4 linked regions of the Arabidopsis thaliana genome follow. The protein of the gene in region 2 purifies or fractionates together with the protein of the main gene of each other region. This does not show direct contact. Each region holds a gene or a part of one and is shown on either strand. Other genes may lie near its edges.

Region 1 (6,253 bases), on a different chromosome or scaffold from region 2:
AACTCATCTTTTTCTCCTGAAGAATTGAGACCACGAGGCATGTGTCGATGATAACCATAACACTTTCCAAGGAGCAGTTGAACACATCCTCAGTTGGGTGAGTTTCTAGGACTGGTTGTTTTGCTATTTCTCGTCTATTCTCTTATTGGGGATTTTGTTGTTTTGTGTCTAGAGAGGTACATTGTCTCCAATGCTAATATATCTTATTAAATAATGCTATAGGTACCAGTGTCCGATTCCTATTGAGATGGTGAAGCCATTGGCTGAGATTGACTACGAAGGGCAAGGTATTTTAGAGTCTCACTCTTAATGACGTTTTTAAGCTCCCTGCCCTGCTGTCTTTTTTAAGTTTTTAAATTATCTCTTTCTTGTAGACGGATCTCCTAGAGGCAGAGGAGGAAGAAGAGGTAGAGGAGGAAGAGGAAGGGGAAGGGGAAGAGGTGGTAGAGGTAGGATTACTTTAGAAATTGTTTATACAGTGTCGTAGTTTCGTTGTAAGCTTTTGCATGTGATTTGTGGATAAGCGTTTGAGTGGACTGTGCTAATTCCTTTTTTCGACTTATCAGGAAATGGACCTGCGAATGTTGAGTATGATGATGGAGGAAGGGGAAGAGGTGGCAGAGGTAGGATATCTTTAGCCAAATCGTATTTGAGTATAGATTTTTGCATATGATTTGTGGATAAGGGTTTGAATGTGTTGTGCTATTTCTTTTTTTGTTTGATTTACCAGGAAACGGATATGTGAACAATGAGTATGATGATGGAGGAAGGGGAAGAGGCGGCAGAGGTAGAATTGCTTTAGAATATTTCTTTCCAAATCTTAGTTTTACCTTTTAACATATTTGCATGTGATCGGCGGACAAGTGTTTGATTGGCTTGTGCTATTTCTTCTTTCGGATTTGCCAGGAAGTGGATATGTGAACAATGAGTATAATGATGGAGGTATGGAGCAGGACCGGTCATATGGCAGAGGACGCGGGCGTGGGAGAGGAGGTGGACGTGGTGGTCGAGGAAGAGGAGGTTACAATGGCCCCCCACCACCTTACTATGAAGCTCAACAAGATGGAGGAGACTATGGATACAACAATGTTGCTCCTCCAGCAGACCATGGATATGATGGTCCTCCGCCTCAGGGACGTGGTACGTTGATGATTTTGTTACACTAATGTTTTCTCATTAAATAATGATGAGTTGTAAATGTTTAAAAATTGTTGGAACAGGACGTGGCCGTGGAAGGGGAGGTCGTGGAAGAGGAGGAGGCCGTGGTGGATTCAACAGATCAAATGGAGCACCTATCCAGGCTGCTGCATGAGCGACCAGGGTCATTGAATGAAGTTGGATCTTTCTTACATTCTCATGTTTTTGTCTCTGTTCTTCAAAGCAACTTGTTGCCGTAGAATAATCTTTCGTTCATGTCGCTTTAGGTTATATATATCCTCATTTATTTTATCATGGATCTTGGATTTTCAAGTTTTTATTCCTTCAAGAGTTTTCTAGTTTTGTCTCTTTTTTGAGTTTTGGATATTTGTTTGACTCCAATTACATTCGTCGGCGTATTGACACTAACAAGTAAACAACCCCCTTTGGCATTGCCTTTTTCCATTGGTTCGTATATCAGTTGATTATATATTCTAACAACATAAAAAGATAACAAGAAAAAATAATGAATAATAAAATTGTAATTCCAAGTTCCAACGTGTTTTGAGACAAAAAGAAATTAACCCAACTTGCGCTGGTTGTGTTTTGGGCTATTCGAAGAAAGCGTACGAAAATAAGTGAGAGAGGTCCAAACAAAACTAGTAACCAAAAAGTTAATCGCCGTTGCCGGGGATCGAACCCGGGCCACCCGCGTGACAGGCGGGAATACTTACCACTATACTACAACGACATTTGTTGCTCAATCGTAATGTAGAAGATATAAATACTAATATGGAAAAAAGCTGTCTTGAACAAAAAGAAATATACTTTTTTTGTTGTGTCCAAAAAAAGGAAAATACTTAGGAAAGAAAAGAGTCTCAGCAGCATCAGCTCGTCCTTAAATCTGATCCATCATCGTCACTTTCTCCCGGCGAATTCCGTTTTATCGATTTAGTAAGCTCTCTGTCTTTATCTCTCCGTCTTTCTCAGTCAACAAATTGGTTGAAACTTCAATCGGTTCCTTGAAATCTCACCGGCTTAGTTGCATACTTCTGCAAAAACCCTAACCTTGTTTTTGTCTTTGTGAAGAGTAACGAGATTTGTGCAAAGATGACTCAGGACGTGGAGATGAAAGATAACAACACCCCTTCTCAATCGATTATCTCTTCTTCTACCTCTACTATGCAGAGTAAATCTCGATCTGAATGCTTTAATTCTCGAACTGTTTTCATAATTGCTAAGTTTCTTCTGGGTTTTGACGCTTTGTTTCTTTGTTTCCCAGATTTGAAGGAGATTGCAGCACTCATCGATACTGGGTCTTACACGAAGGAGGTTCGTCGTATTGCTCGTGCTGTGCGTCTCACTATAGGGCTTAGGCAGAAACTCACCGGCTCTGTGCTCTCTTCCTTCCTGGATTTTGCTTTGGTTCCAGGATCCGAAGCTCACTCTCGCCTCTCTTCCTTTGTTCCTAAGGTATTTGTGGGTTTTACTTCTTCACTTTGATGTTTCAGAATTCTCAACTTGGTTGTTCCTTTTAGCATCTGGCTTTAGGTTGTTTAGATTCGTGTTATGGTTGTTATACTTTCTTTTGATGTTGTGAATGGCAAGTTATCTAACATACAACTGGCTTAGAGACTGAAATATTGGAACTTTTAATGGTTTAGGGTGATGAACATGACATGGAAGTTGATACTGCCTCATCGGCCACACAAGCTGCTCCTTCTAAGCATCTACCTGCAGAGCTCGAGATCTACTGCTACTTCATTGTTCTTCTTTTTCTGATTGATCAGAAGAAGTACAACGAGGTAACTACTGCTGTATCTTTGTGTTTTGTCATAAGTTACTTTTCTGTTGTGATTTTAATTTTAATGAGTTGCTTTTAATCATCTCTTAGGCTAAAGCTTGTTCTTCAGCAAGCATTGCTCGTCTCAAGAACGTCAACCGAAGGACCATTGATGTGATAGCATCAAGACTCTACTTTTACTATTCTTTGAGTTATGAGCAAACCGGTGATCTTGCTGAAATTCGCGGGTTAGTAGCTCAAAGACTGTTTTAGTTTTGTACTTTGTCTTACACCTCATATTAATCAGTAGCTCAATAGTTAATAATCTGGTCATTTTTTCTACCTGCAGTACTCTTCTTGCGTTGCATCATTCTGCAACGCTAAGACACGATGAGCTGGGTCAGGTATGTCTTTGTTTAGCTCATTCAGTCGGCATTCATTATTTTGAAACTGTTACTTGCTTCTTATTCAAATTTATCATGTTGAATGCAGGAAACCCTTCTGAACCTGTTGCTACGTAACTATTTGCATTACAACCTCTATGATCAGGCAGAGAAGCTAAGATCAAAGGCACCTCGCTTTGAGGCTCATTCAAACCAACAGGTAGCTCTTGGCTATTCCTTCATACTCTAAGTTTTCTCGGTTCTCTAGATTCTATATTTGCATGAAAACTCCAATGCCACTTCTGCAATCTTTCCAGAGAATTATTTTTTCTATTCGCTATAGCATTTTCCATCTAGGAGGCTCTTGTGTTTTCTTTTCAATCACTAATTATTTGCCGAACTTACTTGAAGTGTCCATTTTGCCTGTCCTTTTCATACTTCTGACACCACCTCTTACCATTACCATCGATCTACCTTGTGTTTTTCTTTGCTACATATGAATTTTGTTCTTTTTTTAACCCTTCAATTGTTACTGTTTCAAAAGAATAAACAGCAAGATGACTTGTCTAAAACATTATACTTTGCAGTTTTGTAGGTACCTTTTCTATCTCGGGAAGATTCGTACTATTCAGCTCGAATATACGGACGCAAAAGAGAGCCTTCTTCAGGCGGCCAGGAAAGCCCCTATAGCAGCTTTGGGCTTCAGGATCCAATGCAATAAATGGGCAATTCTGGTTCGTCTACTGCTGGGTGAGATACCAGAGCGTTCTATCTTCACTCAAAAGGGTATGGAGAAGGCCCTCAGACCCTACTTCGAGCTAACAAATGTGAGTCCACTTTCATAATCTTGCTGCTGTGACATGTATTCATTAATTTATGAGCGGATAACTAAACTGGTATTAGTATGTGGTCACTTGTGATCTTGCTACTTCACTTCTGATTTTAAACCGGTTCCTACTTTTCACTTACTGGCCTATACACCTCTTCTGTTAAAATCTCTCTGTGGTCACTTGAAACACAATTTTGTTGCTGCTGTTGTTTTCTGCTCCTTCGAATTATATTGAACATGAATTTCTGGCTGTTTACTGTTGCTTTTTAGAGATATATGATGCAACTGGATAGTTGATACTGATTTTGATCTGAGGCTTACTATTAAAGCTCTGTTTTGATTTTACAGGCGGTTAGGATTGGGGACTTGGAGTTGTTTAGGACAGTCCAGGAGAAGTTCTTGGACACATTTGCTCAAGACAGAACGCACAATCTCATCGTGCGACTCCGCCACAATGTCATCAGGACTGGACTGCGGAACATAAGTATCTCCTACTCAAGAATCTCTTTACCCGATGTTGCCAAAAAGCTGAGGCTCAACTCTGAAAACCCTGTGGCTGATGCGGAAAGCATCGTGGCAAAGGCCATACGCGACGGAGCTATTGATGCTACAATCGATCACAAAAACGGATGCATGGTCTCCAAAGAAACTGGGGACATCTACTCGACGAATGAGCCACAAACTGCGTTCAACTCAAGAATTGCTTTCTGCCTCAACATGCATAACGAAGCTGTCAGAGCATTGAGGTTTCCTCCTAACACTCACAAGGAGAAAGAAAGCGATGAGAAGAGGAGAGAGAGGAAGCAACAGGAAGAAGAGCTTGCTAAGCATATGGCTGAGGAAGACGATGATGATTTTTAGACAAAGGTCATCTATTTCTTATAAGAGTTGACTCTCCATCTGTCTCACTTTTTTTATGTTCACAAGTTTACTTGGTACTCTTCTCATCGTCTCTAAGTGTTTCTTTATTGAGGATTTTTATCCTCAGGAACCTTTTTATTACTCTGGTTTCACTTTAGGAAAAGATATTTATCTTGTTGGTTTCAGAAGATCAAATTCAACTTCGTTTAATTGTGTTTGGGAGATTTTCGCATTTTAAGAATTGAACACTTGTAGTTATAGCTAGCTGTATTAGGTGGGTCATTATTAGAAATTGACCATGTGAAATGCTATCATCTCCAGGCGATGCATACCATTAAAATCCACATTCATAATTTACATTAAATGATAGATAAGCAGTCATAAATATCTAAAGAATGAAAACAGGACATGTGTATTGACCATTATGTGTATTGATACATTAGTCTATCTCTGCCAAACTAGGTCTCATTTTCTTGAATAAAACAATCTCATGTTATGCTTTTAATTATAGGTGTTTCTGGTTCGATTCATTAACTTCTTAATAATGACAAAAATCTGTAGAATAATACCCGGGCTCTTTGATAGCTACAACTGCCAACTATTTAATCCATACAATCAAAATGTAATTTTCATAATTGTAGATTTGTAATGGGTCAATATATTCTTACACTCTAATCATATCCAAACAAGCTCCTCAATTCCTTAATCTTGTTGTATCCAGTATCCATATTTTGTTTTCTTACTGCGGAAGTTACTTGGTAGTGTAGTCTGGATTTCGGATTGCAGACTTTGCAGTCCACGATTTTTCATATGTTGGTGACAACGAACAAGTGTTAAGTTGACGGAAGTGTTCGTAACAAACGACGTCGTGACGGTGATCTTCATCAACTTTGATTGGAAATCAAGTTTTGAGGGACAATTAACCCAAAAAAATAATCATAATGATAATGAAAGAGATTTGGCGTGTTGCTAATAATGTAGGACAAGTGAGCATGTGAGAGTCTGTGACCGATGAACCTGCTCAGACCAACCTGCACATGATTGTATCACAAACAAAAAACTCTCATTTGTCTTTCTTTCGTCTTACTTTATTCATTTTAAGCAAAAATTAAATATCCACCGCGTTGCACAAGAAATCATTTACCCATATGATTATTCTCTTAGTTTTGAATTTTTGATGACCATGCTGATTTAAAATTTGCAATCTTACAATAACTTTAACTTATGTATAAAAAAAAATGCTGCATCAACCAATAAAAC
Region 2 (5,079 bases):
GATGATCCTTGGATTCCCGTTGGATAGATCTAGATTGATTTCTCTTTCTCAGATCTGTACCGATCAGAATTCCGAAGAATCTTTCGAATCTCTCTGTTCGGTATCAGGTTAATTTCGAATCCTCCTATGTAATTGAATCGATTGAATTCGAATCTCAGATGTGTGATTTCTATGGTTTTGATCTGTGGTGCAGAGTCGCCGGAGCTTCCTCCGCTTCAGAGTATTCAGTTCACAAATCCGTTTGTTTCCGGTAAGAAACGGATTATTCCGGTGGATTCTGTTTTAAGTTTCGTTGACATGTAACTTGCTTCATTCATTCATATTCTGCAGGTAATAATGTTTCTGCCTCTCCTCAATCAGTCGACTTAGCACCGGAAGTTTCACCAAGCTCCGATCTATTCTCACCGGAAACAGCCACCCTAGCACCACCACCACCACCACCACCACTACCAGTTCTACAATACTTCTCAAGCGACTCTCTCAAGATCAGAAACTTCTGGTTTCCATCGACTATCATCATGACTTTTGCCACTTCTATTCTCGCTCGTATCTGAACTGTTTTAAGCTCTCTGTGCTTTTTACTGCTTATGTTTACTTCATTGATACTTAAGATTTTACCATTGGGCTTGTGTTAAAGTCTTCCCTATGTAGAAACGCAGAGAATAGAGATGATATAGTAGAAGAAGATGTTTAGGTTTACATTGCACTATCTTTTGCTTCATATACGCAATAAGGAAAGAAAAAGTTCAACACATGCATATCATCATCATTATCTAGGAACTTTAATATCCAGGGAGCTTGAAGTTCAACAGAGAATATAAATGTGAGCCGAGTAACATAAATGGACTAATAAACACAATGAAAACAACTTAGGCATCAGCAGTGCTGATACGCCATCCGTACTCACGGGCTCCGTCCTTGTCAACAATCTTGATAACAAAGTTTGGTGGTGCAATGACCAGCCTTGACCTGATCTCGAGTATGCATTTGTCCACCAATTCAATGGCTTCTTCAACAGACATGTCGCTGCGGTAGTGTCTGTCCATTGTAGAGAGAGAGAAGTATGAGCCGTATCCAAATGCTCCCTTATCAACCTTGTGGAGGGTTGCAATGTAGTCAATGTAGTATAGAGATGCGCCGGCTTCTTTGTCATAGCCAGCCATCAGGATGTTCACCGAATATGGATTCTGGAATCAAATAGAACAGACAACAATGGGAAATCTCAAAATGTCAAGTGCGAATATGCAGACCAGTCCTAAACAACCCAAAAAAATCCAGGGAATCAATCAGATCATTTAACAATCTATAGCTAAGGCTACATGGGTATAAACCCCACTCAACACTGTCCAAAGTTGGAAGATCTACCCTAAACCGGTAAAAATGATCACACATCAGTTAGCCTTGAGTATCAGATTTTCACCATCAAGACACAGAAGTCAGAGTAACCTTGGAAGGTAGCACAAAATTCCTAGTCTTGTAAATTCTTAGTTAATGAAATAATATTACTTATCAAGCTTGGCATAAGAAAACTATTAAGCTGTAATCCGAGTTTCATCTTTTCTGCATCATAATTCTAAATTTCATAACTTCGTCCAACTCAAAGATAATCTTCTGTAACATCCAAGGACATAAAACTGCAACAATGTGTAGAATAGTCTGAAATACCTTGAATATTTCTAAAGGCCACACTATGTCTACATAATGAACACATTAGGTAAAGTTTCTAATGGCATTTAGCTACTCTGAGGTAATGAATATTAACAAGTATTAGAACTACCTGTATCAACAATGGTTTTACACCACCATACAAGAGGAAGTGAAACACAAAGGCTTATATAAACTTATCAACAAGTATTAAGCATCAAACATCTTAACACAATCAAAACCATAGTATGACAGAGGAAAGCTTCAAAAAAATTGACATGTTTAACTAAAGAAGAAAGACAAGTTCAACTACATTGCATCAAAAGAGGAAACTAAAAAACCAAGAATAAGCACTAAGCACCAATCGCTGATCTGATGATACCCCACAATCTCACTATTTCATAAAAGTATATGTACCTCAAAGAGATTAAAACCCTAATTCCCCAAATCTAAAATAAGGCAGAGAAACTTCTGAAATAAAAAAATAAAAAACCGTAGAAGAAAAGTTAGAACCTTTCTCAAAGCAGTGGCAAGTTCTCCACGAGTGAAGTTAGCAGCAGCAGCAGTACTCAAAGGAATCCCATTACGAAACTGATACAGTGACACATTCTTCTGAACATACTCCGTAAACTGAACCCTAAAGTAAATCCAAAAAAAAACAGAAATCAAATTCATGTACTACTACTACTGAATCACAGACAGAGAGAGAGACGGAGAAGTTTTTTTACCGGTCACCAGGCTCACCACTAGCGGCGACGAGCTTGTGAGAGTCAAGAGTCATGATCTTGTCCTCTTTGTTCTTGTGAAGAAGAATACTGTGAACTGCTGATGTATCCGCCGCCACGATAGCGAATCCATTCCCAACTAGACCAAATACACACTCCATCTTCAGATCTGTTTCTTCTCAGTTCCTTTTTCGAATTTTTCGATTCCGATTATTCGTTTCTTCCGGTCGCTGGAAGAATAGTTTAAGAGCTTTTTAGATCAAAGCGACTTGGCGAACAAGACGGGTTGATTTGGTAGTTCTAGAATATAGTCAGGGGTATTTTAGACATATTAACGTTATGGGGACATTTCTATTTTTTAAAGTAGGAGGGTGTAAGAGAGAGTAATAGGAAAAGCTTAGGGGTTAATTTGTAAATTAAAAAGGAACCTCTCGTTTTCTTCTCTCTCCCGCTTCTTGCTGAGTCGCCGACCCTCTGAGAAGAATAAGGTCTAACAATGGAAGTCTGAGATGGTTTCTTCAGTTTCTAATTATAAAAGAGAATTTGGTTTTAATTTCTCTTTATTGTTTATCTCGTCCTCGATTTCAAGAGTTTGATTTCTGTAACTTTGAGCTTCCTTCAAAGCAAATGAAAGGTGTCGTCGTGAGTATACTCGAATTGTATTTCCCATGGTGAATAAAGGATAAGAAAGTGTTGTGTCTTCATTTCAATAGATAAAACAATCTAAACATGGCGTATTCTGTTGTTCGGCTTCGAAAGGTTTCAGCTTTGGGGATTTCTCGTGTTCTTCAAGGTTGGAGCTTTTAAACCCTTTTTTTCTCTGTTTTCTGGTTCTCTTTTGGTTAGAAATTGCGGATTGTAGTTTGTAAGTGATCTTAGAAAGGAACTATCAGAAATTTTGATCATCTGGATACAGAAAGTTTGAACCTTTATGAGCTTTGCAGCTTCTACATCTGTTTCTGTGTAGTGTCTAGAAGAAGATTGGATTGGTTTAACGTTGTATCTTATGATGGCTTCGTGTTGCCTAATGTTTCAGCTGATAAAGGAAGTTTGTGGCGGTTTCACTTTGAACCTGAGTTTGGTGACCTTTTGAGATTAGGTGTCTTGACTAGGAATTATAGAAAGAACTCTGGATCTCCAAAGTTTGATTTCACTGGCACTGGAACCACCTCAAAGTTCGATTTCACTGATCTCACGTAAGAGTAAAACTTCTTGTAGAATTTTTTTGTTAGCTCCCCAGTAGCAACTAATTGCGATTCTCTTTGCAGTTCCATTGTTGTTGTGGAGAGATTAGTAAAGAGGAACTGATTTATATTTCTGTCATTACTTTGAATTCTAGCTGTCCTCATACATGGTATCCTATAGCTCGGAAGAAGAAGCGTAAGGTCATTCTACATGTTGGCCCGACAAACAGCGGGAAGACATATAGTGCCCTTAAGCACCTTGAACAGAGTTCTTCAGGTATGCCTTGAAGGTGACTAATAAACCTTTTGGAAGCCAGTTCTTGAACTGTTTAAAATTTGCTTCTTTCACTTGAAGGTGTATATTGTGGTCCGTTAAGATTGTTGGCATGGGAGGTAGCTAAACGGTTAAACAAAGCAAATGTTCCATGTGATTTGATCACGGGACAAGAGAAAGACTTAGTGGAAGGGGCAACACACAAAGCTGTGACAGTTGAAATGGCTGATGTTACATCTGTCTACGATTGTGCCATCATTGACGAAATTCAGGCTAGTCTTGCTCGACTTTGGCTTAAGAAATCGACAAGAACTTTTTGTTTGTTATTCTCATCCTTTCTTTCCCTAATTTCAGATGGTGGGATGTAAACAAAGGGGATTTGCATTTACTCGTGCTTTACTTGGAATCGCGGCTGATGAGCTACATTTATGTGGCGATCCAGCTGTCGTACCTCTTGTTGAAGATATACTGAAAGTAACTGGAGATGATGTCGAGGTATCATGTTTATTCGAGCTAGAGTCCCTTTTTCTTCTCTAATTATTTCTTGTTTATAATTAAATACCAATACTCTTGATGTAATCACGACCTCTTGATCCCTTTTATTTTGAATTCAGGTTCATACCTATGAGAGGCTTTCACCATTAGTCCCTTTGAAGGTTCCTGTTTCATCAGTTTCCAGTATTAAAACTGGGGATTGTCTTGTCACTTTTTCCCGAAAAGATATATATGCGTATAAGGTTAGCAGTTACTTATCTTGTTCTCTCTTCCTGTATTTTGCTTTTTTCTGCTTGAGTTTGCTGCGAAAGAAATAGAACATTTTGGCATCATATTATATGCATACATAGCTCTATTCTCTACGCGTCATGAGTATTGAATGCTTCCATACATATTCTTTACTCTTTTTTTTGGTACCTTTTCGTAGAAAACAATTGAACGTGCGGGGAAGCATCTTTGCTCTGTGGTTTATGGTTCGTTGCCTCCAGAGACTCGCACGGCACAGGTTTGAGTTCCTTACTGTCTTGGCTATAGGCTTAACTGGATGCTCTAAGAATTATCTTTTTTTGTTTCCAAATGCTTTAAAATCTGCAGGCAACAAGGTTTAACGATGAGACCAATGACTTTGATGTGCTTGTTGCCAGCGATGCGATTGGCATGGGTCTTAATTTGAATATTTCAAGGATTATCTTCTCGACCCTTCAAAAATATGATGGTTCCGAGACCAGAGACCTAACAGTATCTGAGATTAAACAAA
Region 3 (3,451 bases), 3.4 Mb from region 2:
CAGGACCAAATCTTCTATTAGAGACCATTTGCGTCTTGATTTCCTCTCTGCAATTGGCGCTTCATCTTTCTCTTGATCATCAAACCAATGTACTAAACACATGGACATCAGATGATCCAAGTTCTATGTTAGGTGGAAAACGTTCAAACTGAATTGGTGGAATGGTTTGATTCTCTTGAAAGATGATTAGGGAAAGATTTAAAGGAATCCATAACCTTGTTTGGTTTGGTTGTTAAAAAGATAAGAGAAAGATTTTTCAGCTTGAAGTTATGTGATTTAAACTGTGTTTTTCAGCTTGAAGTTATGTTGTTAAATAGATGCGGTTTTAGAAGCTTCAAGTTAGGGTAGGGTGTTAAGTTAAAGCTCTTTGATATTGATCACAGAGAGCAATAAATCACATAGAGCTTTTACTTACACTTAACCTACCAAGCATTCAATAAAATAGACCATAACTATGATAATACTTTTACCCAATGTAAACCACTCCAAAATACACTAGTTAACATGCATTTATCACAGTTAAAAAACAGTTAGCTTTTATTGCTTAGACCAATTCAGAGAAATTTTGAGCGCAATAACTAAGAGAGAGCTTTTAAAAGCTTCAAGTTAGTATTAGGTGTTAGAATTTTTTTTTTTTTTTTTTTTTTTTTGATCAAAGGTGTTAGAATTTTATTTAACCATAGAGAACAAATACTTTCTTCTAAGCATTTAAAATATTAATGTAATGCTATCTCAACTCAAAAATATATTGCATTTAAACAGAGAAACAAATAAACTAATCAAAAGCAGACAACAAATAATCAAAACCGGACATCAAATAATCAAAAGCAGACATCAACTAATCAAAAGCAGACATCAAATAATCACATATCAAAAGCAAAATCAACAAATCAAACTCAGACAACAACTACTAGATGAATTAAAGAAGGCTCAGTTCTACCTTCGTGTTATCAAGAAATAGTGCAATCTGTAGAGCGTGGTAAGGGCCAGGACAGACAGGATATCAGAAATGTACTTCTGCAAACATAGCAAATGTAATTTTTAAGCCATACCAATATAAGAATTGTTAATAACTTGAAATCAATGATGACATACCTTGAGATTAGAATCAGCCATTGTTTCATGAAACGCTTTAAGAGTTACATACTGGGGACGCAGAAACTTTAGTGGTTTGGGAACTGAAGTCATTGAACTTGTTAAAGCTCGGATTTCCTGCCTACAAAACCAAAAAAAAATTAAAAACTCCAACAAGGGTAGAACACAAGGAGCAGAAAAGAAAGAAAAACTTTATAAATTATGAGCTTCAAAGACAGTAATCTGAAAACCCGAAGCTAATCAAGTCAAGAATTACCTCATACTCTCAAGAGCAGCCTTCTGCAAGTCCGGATTAGGATCCTGAACCATCTCAACATAGAGCTTAAGGTTCTGCTTTAGTTCCAAATCCTCTTAAGACTACAATCACAACCCAATGTAAGTCGAGTCATTAGTCCTGTGAACATATATAAAAAAAAAAACTCTCCTCACAGCACAAGTTAGCAACTTTTTAATCCGGCTATACTAATGACGAACAAAACATTCACTTTGAACATGCTTATTGTTTTGTTTTTGTATATCTCCTTATGCTTTGTAAAACCACGTACAATACTGTAATTGATATGTTCTCGTAATAAGAAAAGAATACGAACCCACTTAGTCTTCATAATTAGATTCATCATATCGAATCAAAGATGAAAAGATTTATTACAAAAATAAACCAAATTAAAACCGATAAATAAGTTTTTTTCTACTATAGACACAACATTCCAATTGCCATGGTGATTGAACAACCATAGGAAAAAACGATTATCATCTTCATTTCTTCTCTCTTTGTTCTTTTCCATCCTCTCTTTGTTCATTTCCATCTTCATCATTCTAACTTCCTCTTTGTAACGCCCGTGAACCGGAAAATCAGTTAGAGTTTGTTTTTAAATCATCCGGTTTAATTGATTGGGTTAATTGGAAACCTTAGAGTATGCCTATAAAAGAAGTAAACTCGAAATTAGGGCTTTGGTTAGCCACTTTTCGTTTTATAAAGGAGAAAAAGAGAGAAAAGGAGAACGAGCAGAATCGTTAGGGTTTGGGAGAAATCAGTTTCGTCATATCAAATCGTGGTAAAAGGTAACGAAATTTGGCAGAGTTATTCCCAAGTCCTTTATCGTTATTCTCCAATTTACAGAATTGGATTTGGATTCAAATTGGTTGAGTTATTCGCAGTTTCGTGAGACACGTTTTCTCAGACGCGAATTAGGACCAGCGGAGATTGAAACTGAGATCGTGGTCTCGTCTGTTTTCCGATCGGCACGAGATTTTGTGGTCAGCTTTGTGACGTCTGCAGCTAGGATTTCACCGGAGAGATTGAATAGTTAACGGTTAGTTTGTATTTGAGGGTTTCGTCTTTGAGACTGCTTGTTTCTGGTTTTTCCTGTCCAGTTTGCTTCAAGGTTGCTTTTGGTTGTGGACTTTTTGTAGGACGTTTCTGGACTGTTTCAGACGCAAGGAGAGTCTCTCCTGGGTTTAATTGCTATTAGAATCAATTTGTTAAGGTGAGTGCGTGACCATGAGCTTATCTGAGCGATAGGGTTGTGTGATTTGTTTTGTGTGATGATATGTAGGTGTGGTGAATGTGTTTTGGATGAATTGTTCAATGACTGGTTTGTTTGTATTGTATTCGTGATTATACCTTTTTATTTGCTTGTGTGTATAGCTCGTAGATGGGAGGATCGCCTCACTAAGTATTTATGATAATACTTACGCATCTCATTGTGTTGTTGATACAGGTAAAGATAAAGTGTGATCGTGGAATCATGGCAAGGAAGAGAGGATGATCTAGGAACTCGTTTGTTTTATTTTTGGTGTTTTTGGTTATTGGAACCCGGTTAGGATTGTTAGTTATTCTTGGTTTTGTTGGTCGAATTATTTATTTATTCATTAAATAGTATTTTTGACTTGTGGTTTAATTGTTATTCTATTGGTTGGTTTAATTAGATATTTATGGAAATATTTAATTATTTTTTTTAAAAAAAATGGGTCGGGTTGTTTCAATTTGGTATCAGAGCGATTACGGTTCTAAGATGTGTAGAAAAATTAATTGATGAATTATTTTCCTGTTGATTGATGTGGGATGAGCTAGGGTGTTAGCATATTGAGGATTGATTATGGAGTGTTTAGTCAATTGTGTGTTGTTGGAGTTCTAGCATCATCTTCTCCAAGCCTTAAATGAGATTCCACGGTAAGTTGTTTGTGATATATTCGTTTGTTTTAGTTTCTTAGCCATTTGTTTTTGAGTAGCGCAGATGGTTAGAGGAGCTGGAGTTCGTGGTCGTGGTCGCGGTCGTGGTCGCGGTAGGGGACGAGTCCTCGAGGGTACCGGCGAGAGTGATGGCCACAGTGCCACAGTTGAGCAGAGTGGGTT
Region 4 (5,537 bases), on a different chromosome or scaffold from region 2:
CAAAAGTGTGAAATTTTACATGTTTGTTTGTTTATTTGCAGTGAGAGAAGCTTCGAGTAACATGTCAGGTCCGGGCCCAACATACGAGTATACAACTACGGCAACTGCTAGTAGCGAAACGTCGTCGTTTAGTGGGGACCAACCTCGGCGAAGATACAGAGGAGTTAGACAAAGACCATGGGGAAAGTGGGCGGCTGAGATTCGAGATCCATTTAAAGCAGCTAGAGTTTGGCTCGGTACGTTCGACAATGCTGAATCAGCAGCAAGAGCTTACGACGAAGCTGCACTTCGGTTTAGAGGCAACAAAGCCAAACTCAACTTCCCTGAAAACGTCAAACTCGTTAGACCTGCTTCAACCGAAGCACAACCTGTGCACCAAACCGCTGCTCAAAGACCGACCCAGTCAAGGAACTCGGGTTCAACGACTACCCTTTTGCCCATAAGACCTGCTTCGAATCAAAGCGTTCATTCGCAGCCGTTGATGCAATCATACAACTTGAGTTACTCTGAAATGGCTCGTCAACAACAACAGTTTCAGCAACATCATCAACAATCTTTGGATTTATACGATCAAATGTCGTTTCCGTTGCGTTTCGGTCACACTGGAGGTTCAATGATGCAATCTACGTCGTCATCATCATCTCATTCTCGTCCTCTGTTTTCCCCGGCTGCTGTTCAGCCGCCACCAGAATCAGCTAGCGAAACCGGTTATCTCCAGGATATACAATGGCCATCAGACAAGACTAGTAATAACTACAATAATAGTCCATCCTCCTGATGACTTGCTTCATTTTATTTGTTTCACTATAGAGTAATAGAAAACAGGAAAATGATTATATGTTATAGAGTTATTTTTCCAAATATTATAGGGTTTAGGTTGTTTGTATTGTTCTGCTTTCATCCTCTCATGCTTTTTTTCTTAATTTATTATATTTTTGCATTATAATTTCGTTTCATTGTAACAAACATTAAAAAGACCACATGGAGAAAGGAAAAAAAAGAGAGTTTTGTATATAATCTTGCAAGGTCTCCTAAAGAACACAAAAAAAATGTGTTCGAACCAAGCAGAGAAAGAAAACTCAAATGATTATGTTAGAACGAGAGCCTGAAAGATTCTTTCCACCGATGTGTGTGGCTAGACCGGGTTCTCAAGCTCTTAGTGCAACTTTATGAACCATTGTTTCTTTGTGAATTTGGTGACAACTCTTTTCAACAAGATCCAAAAGCTTCTCCAAGTTTGTTGCCCACGAGTTGAGGATTTCGTTGCTGTCTTTAACAATCTGGAAGCAGATTATTCCTGATGGTCTGTCGATTTTTGCTATCAAGGCTTTGGACACAACCATTTCAGATAGATGCTTCTCTGCTTCCTGAAATATAATGAAACGGTAAGAAGAGATTTAAACATGTACTGGTACACTTAAGAGTATTTTGAAACTATATTTACCTCAGTGGTTAGGCATAAAAGTTCTGCAAGTCTCTTAAAGGTAATCCTTGAGTAGTACTTTGAGACAACGAGAATATTCTGCAGAAGATGTGAAGAATTTGTAAAGTTAAGACTCTTCAGTAACAATTGATGCAATCAAAGAGGTAAAGATAGATTAGAGCTCAAAGAGTCTTTACGTGTTCGATTATTCTTAGTTTGAGATCTTCACCAGCTTTGTCACCCAAAGAGCCTCCAATCATGTTTTTCTCATTCTCAAACTCGTCCTTGTATTTATTCCAGAGAGATGTCCACTGAATCACCTCCATTGTAACAATCTGTTTTAGAAGCATCCTGCAACAGAATATAAACATAGGGATTGAGAATCTGTTTCAGATGGGAACGAGGGGAAGAGTAGTGAAAACCCAAATTTTTATCAAGATAAAGAGAATTACTTGAAATCAGGAATCTCTGATAACTTTTTATCTTCCAAGGTTGCATTGAGTAGGCTCGATTGCATTGGATCATGTGGTGCCAAGGCCAAAAACCAGCAAATCTTTCTCAGGACCTATATTTAGAGGATCAAGGGAGAAAAGTTAATCCAAGCTAATTACAGAACGTAGACTACCACAAGATCATCCAAACAACAATACGAGACTTACTGGAATCCATTGTTCTGGGTTTTCCTTTACAGAAGGGATATCATATATCGCCTTGTAGCTACGGCATATCTCAATGTACTCATTGTTGTGAGAATAATACCTACACAACAGAATCAGCACATTATATTTTTACTATAAAGATCACAGAAGTAAAGGGAAATCAAAATTCAGAGGAGAATAATATTCAAATATTTTGACACCAATAACTGGCGAAGAATGTATTAAACCAAATCAAGGACTTACCGAATCATTAGCTCATAGTAAATCCGTTTTAGCACCAACAATGTAGGTATATCAGCCGGAGCCTCCTCTACCATGTTTTCACCTTCCTTAGGCTTCTTTTTCTCCTTCGTGGTATCTGCATCAAACACTCTTGGGTTGATCTTCCTAGATAAAATTTGTGCACGGACAAAATCTTTTTGATCCAAACACAAGCGGACCTTCAGAAGTTTACACACCAATAATTAGAATCACAACATACAAACAAGAACAAAGCACAAAGCACAAAGCTTAAGAAATATGAAAAGATAACAGAAAGTCTTACTTGTTCAAGAATGAAAGCAATTTTCTCAGTTTTTGCCATAGCACCAAATGTCTCCACCTATAATTCATAATCACAATCAATGCACATTGATAAACTATAAAATAAATAAAAAACGATTTCCACGAAAGTTGGAAAGTAGAGGAAGAAAAGCTTACAGCAACTTCTTGCATGAGATCCGCAGCTTCAGCAATCAAACCTTGTTCTTCCTTAATCTTAGCAAGCATCTTGGTCAAACGAGCTCTCTCGATTTCGACATATATCTACACATGCTCACACACACATATTCATCAAGAAAAAAACTTGCACGGAGTGATCAAGATTCAAGCAAATATAACTACAACAACAACAACAATAGCCAACTCTAATCCGCACCTTTCCAGCAGCTACATTGTTTAGAGTCTTAATAAGCTCAATCCGAGTTTCTATGTCTAGTGTCTGATCAATATACTGCATTGCTTGTTGCACCATGGATTGTACAGCCTGCAAATCAAGAGACCTAACCACTTTCAATATCTCACTCAGTTCTTCATTCAATTTCTCAGTAAGATTCAGAACTCAGTAGAAACCGTTCCAAGTAATCGAAAACCTTAAACTACCACAAGCAGGTTTCAAAAGCTAAATCGATAGAAAGTAGTGTGACCTGCTTAAGCTGACCACGTTTCTTCGAGAGATTCAAAATCTGTTCGTTGAGAAGTTTCCAATCCTTAGCTTCGAAACAAAGCTTAAGAATCTCGGTAGCTGCTTTTCTAGTTCCGGCGACATTTTCTGCGAGCCTCATCTGTTTCTCTTCGTTCAGCAGCCGATCAATCGACGATTCGAGTTGTCTACTTTCTTCCTGCAATCAAATCACGACATCGAATTTGACAAACCAAAATTCGAACGGAAGAGAAAAGAGAGAGAGAGAGTTGAAAATCAGATCTGTGAAATCGGAGACTTGCCATTGCTAAACGCCGGGAATCAATACTCCGAGAGAGAGAAGAAGAGTTAGTGAAACTTTCCGGTGATGAAACAGATTTAACTTCTAAAGGTTCACTGAGAGAGAGAATGTTAGCGTCGAAACCCCAACCCCTTGAACAAGAAAAGCTTAGCTCAGACTATTTGGGCCTAATTATAACGTTTTATTTATTGGGACTTTTAACGAAATAGTGTAAGACTTTTGGTGTACATATGTAATAAAAGTATCTATTGGGTCTATTAGGTAAATATTGAATAAACCTACCTGTCGCCTGTAGGGTCATACCCAAATAGCTGTTGGGTAATATGTTATGAACGAAACTATAGGATCCATTTGTAATAAATGAAAATCTAAGGTCCATATGGCCCATTTGAGTAAGTTTTTTAAGGCCCATTATCGCTCGAGCCTCGGCAACTCTCTAACAGTAACAGAAAATCCATCAATTGCTCGGATTTATTTTTCTTTCTTTTGAATCCTTCCACTTGCAGTAGAGAAATTTCACCATGATTTTACTGACTTATAAGACTAATTTATATGTTAAGACAAGGATTATTGTTTGTGGAACTACAAAATTAAGACACTAATGAATTTAAGTTCTATCCTTCTAAATGAAAGAAGTTTGGAGACTGAAAACCAATCGATATTTGTCGAAAACTTTGATCCCATATATTATTTGGTATGTTGCCTAGTTTTTCCAAAGTCCTATTACTTTAAATTATAATCTATTTGATTGTATTTTGGTATATGCATATTTTGATATCAAATATCCACAACACCTTCATGGGATGGGAGCTTCCGTAGGTTTGAATTCGATATATAAAATCAGCAAATACTCTTTTGAGGTGTAATTTTATTTTATTGGAACTAATACTACAACAGAGTTAAAGAAGATATTTGTGGGTTTCTATATACACATAATATATTATAGAGTTTTATTTCACAAACAGAAAACCATGATGCAATCCATACATAAAGCTAGCACACACAAGCTATGATTATTGTATAGAACTGTTTTCCCTCGAGATAATACTGTACACATGCATACAAAGTCGTTTATATTTATATGTTCCTATAAATAATAATAGTTTACATTCTCACTTCTTTTCTTATATAAAATACATTCTCACTTCTTATAATTTATGTTTAGTAAAAGATAAAATCTCGGGATATCTTTGGATCTCAGGATATCTCACAAGAATTCGATAAGTTCATGTGTGTTTATTAGCGATTGTGTATCGGTCTTTTCTTGTTCGCAGAATTATAATCCATATCCATCAATCCATCAACATCACTTCCTCCACCTTCGTGCCTTATTTTCCGACTCTCTTGACTCTTCTCCACAACCAATAGCGTTCTATTCCTTACTACTTCTCGTAAGCTTCGTGCTAAAAAATCAAAATGTTTATATATCAAGAACTCATTATTGGGTAATATATTTTGATATTCAACCAAAAAACAAGAAGAAGATTCATTCAAATTATACTTGATATAGCTAGAAACTCGTGAGGTGAGCGCGCTTGTGTGTATATATATATTAGCTATAAATTTACCTTGAGTAGGAGAGGAAATGAAGAGTATGAGAAGAAGTGCGACGAGGAAAGACTTGTGGGAAACCCTAATTGCCATTTTTGGAAGAGAGTTTTTTTTCTTTGGTTATATAGAATTATCTTTTGTTGAACCTTTTTGTGTTTATATATAGAGATGAATGATTCTATGATCAGTTTATGGTCCCAATTTTATATCGGAATTGAATAACGTTTTGGAAGTTATTGAGACATATGGGTCTAAGGATTTGACGTCGATATTTCTCTGTCTTCCCACATTAACATGAATCTATCCCCACAAAATTAATATTTCTTGTTTGCAAAGCAAATAAATGATGATAATTTATGCAATCACGTCTTTTGAATGAGAAACAGAATTTCGGTTACAAACTTAATTTCACATTTGTATATG

What was found.
Region 1: the proteins of PBD2 (region 2) and EMB2719 fractionate together in Arabidopsis thaliana (co-fractionation; one large-scale study listed by BioGRID). This does not show direct contact.
Region 3: the proteins of PBD2 (region 2) and AT4G08140 fractionate together in Arabidopsis thaliana (co-fractionation; one large-scale study listed by BioGRID). This does not show direct contact.
Region 4: the proteins of PBD2 (region 2) and RPN5B fractionate together in Arabidopsis thaliana (co-fractionation; one large-scale study listed by BioGRID). This does not show direct contact.

The regions. Positions count from the first base shown.
Region 1 is NC_003070.9:7,000,149-7,006,401, reverse strand, and holds EMB2719 (PAM domain (PCI/PINT associated module) protein), read left to right. Parts: upstream 1-1,969; 5' UTR 1,970-2,091; intron 2,092-2,226; 5' UTR 2,227-2,247; coding exon 2,248-2,326; intron 2,327-2,419; coding exon 2,420-2,610; intron 2,611-2,801; coding exon 2,802-2,942; intron 2,943-3,031; coding exon 3,032-3,168; intron 3,169-3,269; coding exon 3,270-3,324; intron 3,325-3,412; coding exon 3,413-3,523; intron 3,524-3,890; coding exon 3,891-4,130; intron 4,131-4,480; coding exon 4,481-4,993; 3' UTR 4,994-5,315; downstream 5,316-6,253. Other genes in the region: AT1G20220 (Alba DNA/RNA-binding protein), read left to right, coding at 23-97, 223-287, 375-449, 567-623, 731-787, 907-1,140, 1,221-1,312. UniProt on the Arabidopsis thaliana protein: Acts as a regulatory subunit of the 26 proteasome which is involved in the ATP-dependent degradation of ubiquitinated proteins.
Region 2 is NC_003075.7:8,497,849-8,502,927, reverse strand, and holds PBD2 (20S proteasome beta subunit D2), read right to left. Parts: upstream 2,663-5,079; 5' UTR 2,531-2,662; coding exon 2,373-2,530; intron 2,282-2,372; coding exon 2,158-2,281; intron 1,469-2,157; coding exon 1,421-1,468; intron 1,188-1,420; coding exon 870-1,187; 3' UTR 688-869; downstream 1-687. Other genes in the region: AT4G14805 (Bifunctional inhibitor/lipid-transfer protein/seed storage 2S albumin superfamily protein), read left to right, coding at 1-107, 194-250, 331-554; ATSUV3 (ATP-dependent RNA helicase), read left to right, coding at 3,099-3,162, 3,406-3,565, 3,709-3,830, 3,909-4,099, 4,182-4,322, 4,442-4,564, 4,750-4,827, 4,917-5,079. UniProt on the Arabidopsis thaliana protein: Non-catalytic component of the proteasome, a multicatalytic proteinase complex which is characterized by its ability to cleave peptides with Arg, Phe, Tyr, Leu, and Glu adjacent to the leaving group at neutral or slightly basic pH.
Region 3 is NC_003075.7:5,133,626-5,137,076, reverse strand, and holds AT4G08140 (26S proteasome non-ATPase regulatory subunit-like protein), read right to left. Parts: upstream 1,405-3,451; coding exon 1,352-1,404; intron 1,217-1,351; coding exon 1,096-1,216; intron 1,018-1,095; coding exon 937-1,017; downstream 1-936.
Region 4 is NC_003076.8:25,892,879-25,898,415, forward strand, and holds RPN5B (regulatory particle non-ATPase subunit 5B), read right to left. Parts: upstream 3,709-5,537; 5' UTR 3,568-3,708; coding exon 3,565-3,567; coding exon of another isoform or gene 3,561-3,564; exon of another isoform or gene 3,462-3,560; coding exon 3,267-3,461; intron 3,107-3,266; coding exon 2,999-3,106; intron 2,887-2,998; coding exon 2,782-2,886; intron 2,684-2,781; coding exon 2,627-2,683; intron 2,523-2,626; coding exon 2,326-2,522; intron 2,183-2,325; coding exon 2,083-2,182; intron 1,989-2,082; coding exon 1,876-1,988; intron 1,775-1,875; coding exon 1,621-1,774; intron 1,523-1,620; coding exon 1,445-1,522; intron 1,368-1,444; coding exon 1,149-1,367; 3' UTR 902-1,148; downstream 1-901. Other genes in the region: ABR1 (Integrase-type DNA-binding superfamily protein), read left to right, coding at 42-778; RGF9 (root meristem growth factor), read right to left, coding at 4,803-4,966, 5,132-5,207. UniProt on the Arabidopsis thaliana protein: Acts as a regulatory subunit of the 26 proteasome which is involved in the ATP-dependent degradation of ubiquitinated proteins. Acts redundantly with RPN5A.